Linked DNA regions of Saccharomyces cerevisiae S288C. The gene in region 1 interacts genetically with each later gene. Each region holds a gene or a part of one and is shown on either strand. Other genes may lie near its edges.

Region 1 (3,341 bases):
ATTTTGAAAATTTGGATTGTTCATGGCTATACCCATTTTTTTTATTATTAATAAGCTCTCGCCTAGTAAACCTGAAATAAGAGGTTTGGCCAAAACGTGGTCATCCAAGGTTGATGGATTCTTCTCTTCTAATATTATTAATAATGGATCGAAACATATTTGAGGCAAAGCTAGTTCCCATTCTTTTGCCAAGAAAGCGGAGGGAGAATGATCGTAAAGAGTCACAACGTCCCTAGGAAACAGTTTTTGGAACAATTTCTGAAATGTATTCAAAATAGGAATAATATCACTTGAATAGCTGTTTTCGTGAACGGATGTCGTTTGACCGATCGAAACAGAAAAGGATTTGGCATTTGCAGTCGTGAACTGTTTGTATGAGCCATTGTCCAACCGTCTTATGTCATAATCGGTGAAAATGCTGAAAATATTTGACAGCGAAAGATCAACTGAAGCCTTGATGAATGGCTCCAAATATATAAACCCGCTACTTTCAAATAGTATCTTTGTTGTCTTATTCATCATAGGTTTTATATCTCTCAATACCTGCGGGATTTCTTGCAGTGAAGACGCACTCATTATTATCAAGTCGAATACCAAGCCACCATTTTCATTATTAAGGTCTACTAAATCTAGGAGCGATTGGAAATGGTTTTGAATCTGAAACCGTTCCGTCCCATAAAATAGTGAACTAACCTCGTAGTTGGCATTTTTTGAGTTGTTCACAAGATAAAATTCTATATTTTTGGCATGTTGAAACCTGGATGTGTACAGAATGAGATTTGGGTGATCTCCGCATACCAAAACCCTTAATGCAGATGTCATTATTCAATATACCTATCGCGAGATATGCCGGGAATAAAATGTAGGAAACAAAAAGAAAAATATATGCACAGTAGTTCAAACAGAATAGAAATGACGGAGAGCAAATATTTGGGTAGAATCACAGACTTTAGTGTTGGTTACAAGCTTTTCGAATGGATGTAGTTTGTAATCAAAGGACACTAATAATAGCGAAAAAAAAAAGGGCAAGTATGTTGGCAGTCGCCTCTTTTTCAATTTAGCGGTAAGTTTTTAATGAATGGCCTGGTGATAATAGATATGAACAACTTCGCTATCGTGTATGCCAATATCACTTTTCTTTTCTACTACTTACTCGACTTTACTCTACCTTTTCATGTTTGTAGATTTCTGTTTCATTCTAGTCTCGAGAATGGCCCACAGCACGGCCAACAGGGGGCTGCGACAATTTCGCGTAGAGCCCATTGTGAAAAAAGCCACCCAAGCTATTATTGTACACAGAAGAATATGGAAGCAAATCGCCAGTGCTACGTGAATGGGACAAAAACATGATGCCTTGTTTAGTATTAGCATTTTAGATACGCCTTTTCAACTTCAAATTGTGCTATAGATAGGAAGATCTCTTTATTACGCAATATATGTTGTGTGTATTTAGGATAAGACTATATCGTCCAACCATACACCGCGTTTCATCTTGTCTTTTTTGCAGCTAGTAAGAATTAAGCATCAAGAATTGTTCAGTTTGCGATGAGTAATGAAATATATTTAAAGAGGACTAATGTTGTTAAAGTAAGCAGTGCTTTTTTCACGCAGTGTATTTTTAGAATAAGTGGCCATGGGTTATATTTTGACAGGATATTCTAGCCGTCATGATAAGAGAAAGAAACATGCACTTCCTTTGCATCGGTATGCATCGTCTTCGATAAACTTGCAGCACCATGTGCATCTCTTAGAGACCCGGGTTTCATCCAAGAGGCCAATATCGGAAGATCAAAGGACTATCAGGCTTCCTGCGAAGAAACTTAGGCATCATCAAAAGCTAACTTTGCAAGATTTACCTGTAGAGATTATTCAACATATTTTCGTTTTCACAAAGGGTGAACCGTCGATGGTCACCTTGAACAGGTTCTTCTATAGTTGCTTGAAGCCATCTTTTTCATTATTATCGAAGATCATGTGGGAAAAATATCTTTTCGATCCCCTGGAGTTTGGCGTAAGTAATATAAAAGCTTATTCAAGAAATATTGTGATCCCTACATTATTTGAGCATGAAACTTTTTTTAGACTACTACTAGATCATCATCCTATCCTGTTGAAAAATATTTCTCATTTTCTTCCCAGAAAGCACTATCAAGATATGCAGAATGGCGATTTTGATACATCTAAAGAGCTAGACTTGTGTTCAATGAACACTGAAGATACATCGAAAGAAGACTTCCCTAAAAACTTTTACAACAATATGCATATTTTTTTAACACGTAGGGAATGTGTGAAGTCTCTAGGTAATCATTTTACTTTGAAGAATCCATATGATGTGATATCCCCTTTTATAGAATGGTTTTTTCAAGGTATTGATATGCAAGGAACTGACCTAAGCCCTAAGTTTACCTTTGTTTCTCTATTTGAATCAATAGATTTAATCCTATACGTCTCTGGATCTACAGTGCAAAAACTAGCGTCTATTGAACCCCTTACGACTGTAATATTTTTATTATATTTCACGTATGCTGATTCACTAGGGAGTCTGAACTTTGAGTTTTTTTTGCAGAATAGATCAAGATTACAGCTCATAGAGAAATTTATCCTGAAATATTATTACAATCCATCATTGACAGAAAACGAACTTTTATCTGATAGCACTATATGGGACCTGTTAAGGCGGGTGTCTGATTTAAAACTCATAGATTTGGTCGTTAAATGCGGCGGAAGGCCTCAATACGGGGTTATGTTTGCATAATTAAATTACTTAGTATTAAGATTCTGCCCCTTGCATGCATGCACAATATGTGCTTGCCAATTCATTTATGTACAAAAGATGGTGTTATATAAGGAATATATTTTGTTTTCTTTGATATTTTCCCTTTCTCATATTCTTGCGGTTTTTCTGCTTTCATTACGTCGCTAATTAGTTTGTCAAAAATTATAACACCGTTAGTTTCCAAGCAATAATTATATAAGGTCCCGTTAAAAAATATCGATAATCAAAAGGTTTTCAAGTAGCAAGCAATAAATAGCTTTCCGAAGACTAAACAGGCTTTCATAGTGTCTCAGTAAGCGTATGGATGGACAACGCAGTTGATGACAGAGAAACACAAAACTATGGGGAAATTTAAGGTTATTGTATTGGCAGGTACTGCAGGTACAGGAAAATCAACCATTGCAGGTGAACTAATCCATGAATTTAAAGATATATACCCGGATTTGAAATTCATCGAAGGTGATGATTTACACCCGCCTGCCAACGTAGAAAAGATGACAAGAGGGATTCCATTAAATGACGACGACCGTTGGGACTGGTTGAAAAAAGTTGCCGTAGAATCTAC
Region 2 (3,364 bases), 590 kb from region 1:
AGGTAAGAAACTGAGTGTTTTGACGAAAAAACAGTTTGATTTACAGAGAGAGGCCTCGAAGTCCAAAAACTTCAGCGGTAGATCAAGATCCTTTAACGGCCATAAGAAGAAAAACTTGCCTAAATTCCCCAAAAATAAGAAGAAAAACGGCAAGGAAGAGTCAAAAGAGGACTCTTCTGCCATTGCCGATGACGATGAGGAGCACAAGGAGTGATTCTTGTGTTTCTTCTGGTTCTCGTATCTCATTATCATAGCATATTAAGAATATATGTACTAACATATGTACTAAACAGAAACACAATATGAATTACAACTAATACTATATTATTTGTCTCCTTTTTTTATTAGTATTAAAAATTACCGTTACTGGTTAAAATGGAATACAGCTCATCCATTTAAAAAAAAAAAAAAATAGAATAACAATAATTAAGCAGAAAAAATGTTAACGAATATAATAAATCGATTTGTCCATTTTCATAAATTTTTTTTTTGTATTATTTCATTATCTGTGCCTCAAAGCATTAACTTTTCTTGCAGTCAGAGAGAGTCTCTTGCGTGGATTATACCAACCGCCATTATCAGCCGGCATAGGGGCCGGCGTAGCATAGTTACTATCAGCTGTAATTATGTATGACCACCCTGGTGTTACGGTAGTATGTTGATCAACGGAGTTTCTTAAAGTGTAGTAATACGTTACCTCACTGGTCGCGTACTTCCTTTTCCATGTCTTTGCTGTTACCTTAGTAGCCGGTTGGAGTTGCATGGGAGCATATTTCACAACACCTGTTTGTAAGTTGTAGGGAACGGTGAAACTCTTAGAATCAATCGTGGCACCCACATCTCCTGTGGTAATTCTTGTTTGTGCCTCTGGTGCAATGGTTATCATACTCGGATTAGCGGCTTTTGTACCAATCATCCCTTTTAGTTTAAATCTGTTAGTGTAATGAATGGTGTAACCGATAGCTGTTTGCGCAAAGACTTGTATGAAGTAAACACCGTCCGTCCCAACGGTGTTTTCTATTATCGCATTGAACTCGTTGTCTGTCAGATCACTCGCACTGAGTGTTTGAAGAGTAGCCATTGCTTCTATCATGGCATTGGTACCCGAACACAGAGTAAACGTGTATCTGACAAAATCCTTTTCCTGTGGTGTGTTATCTGTATGCATCCACTTTACTTTGACAACAGCCTGACTTGTACCAGATAAATCATAAACTGAGTTGGGTTCTGGAGCCACAATGGCCACATCACAATAAGCTGTTCGGAACACTACCGAACAAAATAATGTTAAGAATAATACTATCAGCATACGTTTTACGTAATTGATTTTTTATTATTGTTACCTACCTAAGAAGTCGACGTAATACTTGTATACTTTACTTTTTACTTCTGTGCAACTTTCATCGATACGTTTTTATAAATTTACGTAACTAACTACCTCATGTAATATTATACATGAACGAGCACATAATGTCCAATGTCCCTTACATGTTCGTACTTTCAAAAAAGAAAGAAGAAAATTGGTGAAGAGGAAATGTGCTTTTCTGTTGGAGTTGGTCAACAATATGATGAGGAAGAAGGGAAAGCCGCAAAGACTGGATTTACGCAATGGACTACATTCTCATGTGAAAAAAAGAAGTGCTGCTTCGAAGGTTCGCGACCCTTTCAAGGGACTCGCCGCGATGCAGAGAAAAAAAAAAGAAGAGATAACGTGGGGGCAGCTAAAAAAAGACGAATCGATAATGAGTCCATGACTTGAGCCGGACGGACTTATAATTCGATTCGGGCCTAGGCTTGTACAGCTGAAATAGTGTACAATATAAGGAACTAAACGATCGGAGACCAATCGGAGAGCCGGCAGTTGAATCAGGTGCTTCATCACTGGCATAACCTATCCGCAAACGGCTGATGCAGGTCTCAACGCCCTTCTGGTAAAATCAAAAAAAGTAAAAAAAACGGCTCATGCCAGCTTGCTTCCTGTCAATAGCGGTTGTTGATTTTTTCGCTTCATGCCTAAAAAGAGAAACGAGACACAGAGAGAAAACAAGAATCTAGATTAATAACGTAGGGCAGCGTAACAATAATTTACGCAGAAATGATGTGTATTATTAGGGCATAAATAAATAAATGTATGTATGTGTGTGTATGTATGAGTCGGTGAATGACTTTGGTTTTAGTGATATGAGTAGCCACATCCTTTCCCCACGTGCTTATTTAGCCAGACGTCAACGTTCGGAAATTGCAGTCCACAATGCTTGCACTTCCCCGGCACAACACCTCTATCTTCTTTCTTGGTCTTGGGCGGGTACTCGAAATGCAAAGCCTTTAGGTGATTCTTGAAAGTATCACAGCGCGAAAAAACGCCCGTTTGATGACAGTTTATTGGCTCGAAATAGAGTGATCTAGACTTGTGTGGATACACCTCCATATCCAAATTGATCAGAGTAGAGTTGTAAGGACACTTGAATGCACCTTTAATCTTGTATAGTGATTTCAATTGGTTTTTCTTCAGTAGTTTTGTTTCTTCGGAAGAGGATGAGGCAGCGAGTTTATCGTTTGAGTCGTCGCTGTCGTTGTTTGCGGAGGTGCGGGCAGTGTCATCTTGATCGTCAGCACCACTATTGTTGTCGGACTCCCTTGCGTATATTTGCATAAATTCATCTTTCCAATGGCGCTTCTTGTGCCTTATCAGATCATTGTTCCTGGCAAAGCCGCGTTGACAGATAGGGCACTTATGCGGTCTGTCCTCCGGAGTTAAATGAGTGGATTTATGCGTAGATAGGTTGGCGTAGAAGTTGTGGCAGATGGGGCATTCCTTTTTCTTTCTTTGCTTCGTTATCTTGGCGGAATCCTTTAAAGACGATGAATACCTGCTTGTATGTTCATTAGTCAATGGGGAATGAATAGACGGTAGTGCAGAGGCACTACTACTACTGTTGAGTTGCTGTTGCTGTTGTTGTTTGACGATCAAAGGTGGGAATCCACTAACGGGTAGGCTGGACACGGATTTTGATCTCGGTACGTTATCTACCGCGGTTGGCAATATACTCTGGTGTTGAGTTGGTGGTGAGGGGGTGATGGTTTTGAAACCCGTTGTGTTGTTAGGGTTGCAAAATGTTAGCTCATGTCTGTGATGATCTAGCACTGTTCTTGGCACCGGTGATGTAAAATTGGCATGCAAGGAATTTGATCTGCCGTTAAATTCTCTTTCTGCAACTGTAATTAAATTGGTGAAGGAGGATATGGGTGGCAAAATGACATGGCTTGAGCTGTTGGATGACAGCGGTGTTGGAGAAAGGCTATGAGGGAAATAGCATTTGGAATTATGTGCCAAGGCTGTATTGTCTGTAGGCGAACTCGTGAT
Region 3 (3,667 bases), on another chromosome or scaffold:
AGTGGTATCTGAAATGACGCTACTGAGATACCTGCGATTACGTCGCCCCACAGTTTATTGAAAGTGTACTCAGGAAGCCATGAAAAGCAGGGCAGGTAATAAGGTAAAGTTTCAAACACTGTATTCTCATCAACGCTATCATTATTGTTCGTATTACTTGTATTACTTGTATTATTTGTATTATTTGTATTATTGGTGCATCCTGATCTTGAGTTGTTGGGTGGGGGTACCCCAGTAGTTGAATTAGATGCTGCAATATAGGTCCTGCCTCGATTGGATGAATCCTTATCATAATCAAAATTGTCCGAGAAAGTGTCACGCTGGTCGACTGATCTTTTGAATCTTGGTGGAGCGGTAGAGGAATATGACATCCTTCCACGCCCCAATAACGAATTATTTGATGTCATCCTATAATTGTTTCCGTAAGTTCTTGGAAATCACTAGGAAGTTTGTGGAGTTATTGTTCTCCTCATATTCTCCCATCTGGAAGAACTCTATTATTCCTTTGCCATTTCTCGTAGTCTTTTATATTTAGTCCGCTTTACACCGAAAAGGTCATTTTTAAAAAGGCAAGAGAACTAGGAAAAGTAAAACGTGCCCCCTTCAAAGCGAAGAGATGAATATATTTAGAAGTTAAGAATTTATTTATTTATATTTACCAAGTTTTTCAGTTAGTTCAGGGACTATTTTGTAAAGATCCCCTTGCAACCCATAGTCAGCGACATTAAATATAGGGGCATCAGGATCATTGTTAATGGCAACGATAACTTTCGAATCCTTCATTCCCGCTAAATGCTGAACTGCACCAGAAACGCCAATGGCTATATACAAATTTGGTGCGACTACCTTACCAGTCTGACCGATTTGTAGAGAATTATCACATAGTCCATTATCAACAGAAGCTCTTGTGGCACCTATAGCAGCGTGCAAAACATCTGCTAGCGGCGATAATAGCTTCTCAAATGTCTCCTTATCCTTGAGTGCCCTTCCACCAGTTACCACGTTCTGTGCAGAAGTAAGTTCAGGCCTTTCACTCTTGGTAAGAATAGTTTTAACCCAGGTAACATTTAAGTCACAAGGAGGAATATCAGTTCTCTTCTCAATGGTAACAGAATCCATACTACCCTCTGCAATTGGTGGAAAAGCTGATGCCCTAATAATCAACAGTTTTTTTTCTGCCTGGCATTCTATTGTAGAAATAATGTTACCTGCATAAATTGGCCTTATAAAGGTCTTAGGATCTTTGATTACAGTAACCTCACAAACAGGTTGGACGTCCAAGAGCGCACCCACCCGAGGTAAAACACTTTTTCCAACAGAGGAGTTTGAGACAACAAAATGTGAATAGTCGCCGCCTTTTAATAGTTTCACTAATAACGGAGTTAGTTGTTCGGGAAGACAGGTATCTAATTTTGAATCTTCAAATATGACAAGCTTTTCTAAATTGCTGCATGAATATGAAGATTTTAGCGCCTCAGCAGTTTTTTCAGCTTTGCTACCTGTGATTACAGCTGTGATAGGGTTAGACAACTTTTGTGCAGCAGCCAATAAACTCAATGATGACCTTGAAACAGAGCCATCTTTTGAGCTTTCAATGAAAGCTAAAGTGGAGGCGTAATTTTTCTGGAGGAACTTTGCCTTGCTAGCTCTAGGCAAGACAGCAGCCAATGATTTAAACATAGAAATTAACAATTAGCTGCTTTACCGTTAATGGTAGTAAATTATATCACTAGATTTTGTTTGTTGATTATTTTAATTGTTTTTAATTTTTAGTTAGTAGATTTTCGTTCGAGGCCCTAAAAATGTACCGAAAAGTCATAATAAACGGGCGGAGTCACATCGTAAGAGTAACATATACAATATGCGAGCAGACTTTGTCCATTAAGCCAAGTAACAACAAAAGAACCAAAAAAAGGAAAGTATCTCGTCTCTGTTGAGTAATTCTTATATCTTGCAAGATTTAATTCTCACTACTAATACGGAACTCAATCAAAGTGGCTTAATCCCAAGACATGCATTGAATACGGTATCATTGGCTGTTGACAGTTTAAGAAAAGTAGTTGTCACGTTCCTGAGGTTACTGGGGACAAGGGAAAGTAGATACTCGTCTTACGAAATTGGATATAGTTACTCTCTAATGCTCAATCCATGTAAAGCATGAATCATCTCAACAGAAAAATCTGGGAGAGCATATTTGCAACAAAAGAATCCAAATATCAGTATATAATTATATAAGTGAGCTAAGAAGTGAACAAAAGAAAAGGAAGAGGGGAAAAATTTTGGCTGGACTTGTAGAACGATAGAACGAAAGAGTCCAAGGGGGAAGTAATAAAGTTATTGAACGAAACAACAAAAATTCGATGGAGATATTAACAAATGCATAGCAGCGCAGCTAACCGACCCGAAGCTAGTACCAACGAATTTTTCAACTATTCTGTGTTGATTGTCTCCTTTGCAACACCGAGCTCTTCAGTATTCTCAGCTGAAAGTTATTATTGAAATCACGTTGGGGACTTTCATGATCTAGTGGTCTTGGTGAGTAGCATTTAATATTTTGACCATTGAAAGGGCATCTCTCAATTGGAGAAAGGCCACTCTTAGGGATAGGCGTTTTAACAATCTGTTTATGGGATGAATGATATATTTTTGAGGATGGATTCACGATACTGATATGTTTCCCGTCCGCATTATTCGGATATGTAGTGCCTTCTTTCGATAAAATAGATGCCAATCCTGGCGTATGCTTTGTTTCGATGACGGAGCTTACCAATTTTTCACTTCGTATTTTCGATGAGTTCTTATTTTTACATTTGACGTTCAATATTCCGACATACGTCTCTCTTTCTGAAATGTTGGAACTCTGTGGCCTTGGATTTGGTGTTTTTTCACCCGAAAAATTGTTGATAACTGCACTTTTCTTTGAGGTACTACTATTTATATCTTCCTGCTCTTTTGTTCCCCGCTTAAGATGTTTTGGATGGCAAGTTTCAATAAACTGCGGTTTTATTCCTGCTTCTGAAGAGGTGCCCGAGATGTGAACCTCATTTCCACCACTACCAGTATAAGTAAAGTAGTCCGTACCTTCTTTTCCAAAGTCATTTGAGGAATATACCAAAAAAACACCTTCCTTTACTTGAAAGCGATCCACGAATGGGAAAGTATCCCCTTCCGAAGTCACATCTGAGGGAACAAATTTTAAAACATATGAGATGTTGTTTTCATCCACGGCATCATAAAATTTACAGCAATTATTCTCATACATCAAGTTTTTGAGAGTGTAGTCATGCAATCCTAAATCTTTGAAATGCATCTGATCTATTTGTTTCTGTATTTCTCTTTTCTTGAGTTATATAAACGGAATGATTAGTAGTTTGGCAGAATTTATAGCAAGTATTAAATAGTTGAATACCTCAATATTCTCCATAATAAACGCCATATCGTACATAAAGGCTAAAACAAGAATGCCTGATACCGTTCTGCTTTTTGTTTTATCTTTCCCTATATTTTCTTTCCCTTTTGATGCTTTACGTAATTTTTCCCGGCATATGTGAGCTTCCTAATAGACTCTATTTTTATTTTTCCCTTTCAAAGTGCGAGAGAAATACACACAACCAGCCTACGCTTATTTTCACCCATACCGTCATACGCCATATGATATATAATGTGA

The links.
Region 2: mutations in YDR249C (region 1) and KNH1 impair growth when combined (synthetic growth defect), as found in Saccharomyces cerevisiae (one large-scale study listed by BioGRID).
Region 3: mutations in YDR249C (region 1) and AIM45 together harm fitness more than expected from each alone (negative genetic interaction), as found in Saccharomyces cerevisiae (one large-scale study listed by BioGRID).

Annotation. Positions count from the first base shown.
Region 1 is NC_001136.10:958,095-961,435, reverse strand, and holds YDR249C (uncharacterized protein), read left to right. Parts: upstream 1-1,633; coding exon 1,634-2,755; downstream 2,756-3,341. Other genes in the region: PAM1 (Pam1p), read right to left, coding at 1-822; YDR248C (gluconokinase), read left to right, coding at 3,097-3,341.
Region 2 is NC_001136.10:364,566-367,929, forward strand, and holds KNH1 (Knh1p), read right to left. Parts: upstream 1,310-3,364; coding exon 503-1,309; downstream 1-502. Other genes in the region: tRNA maturation protein LHP1, read left to right, coding at 1-214; STP4 (Stp4p), read right to left, coding at 2,174-3,364. UniProt on the Saccharomyces cerevisiae protein: Involved in cell wall beta(1->6) glucan synthesis.
Region 3 is NC_001148.4:563,362-567,028, forward strand, and holds AIM45 (Aim45p), read right to left. Parts: upstream 1,681-3,667; coding exon 646-1,680; downstream 1-645. Other genes in the region: YPR003C (uncharacterized protein), read right to left, coding at 1-407; HAL1 (Hal1p), read right to left, coding at 2,426-3,310. UniProt on the Saccharomyces cerevisiae protein: The electron transfer flavoprotein serves as a specific electron acceptor for several dehydrogenases, including five acyl-CoA dehydrogenases, glutaryl-CoA and sarcosine dehydrogenase.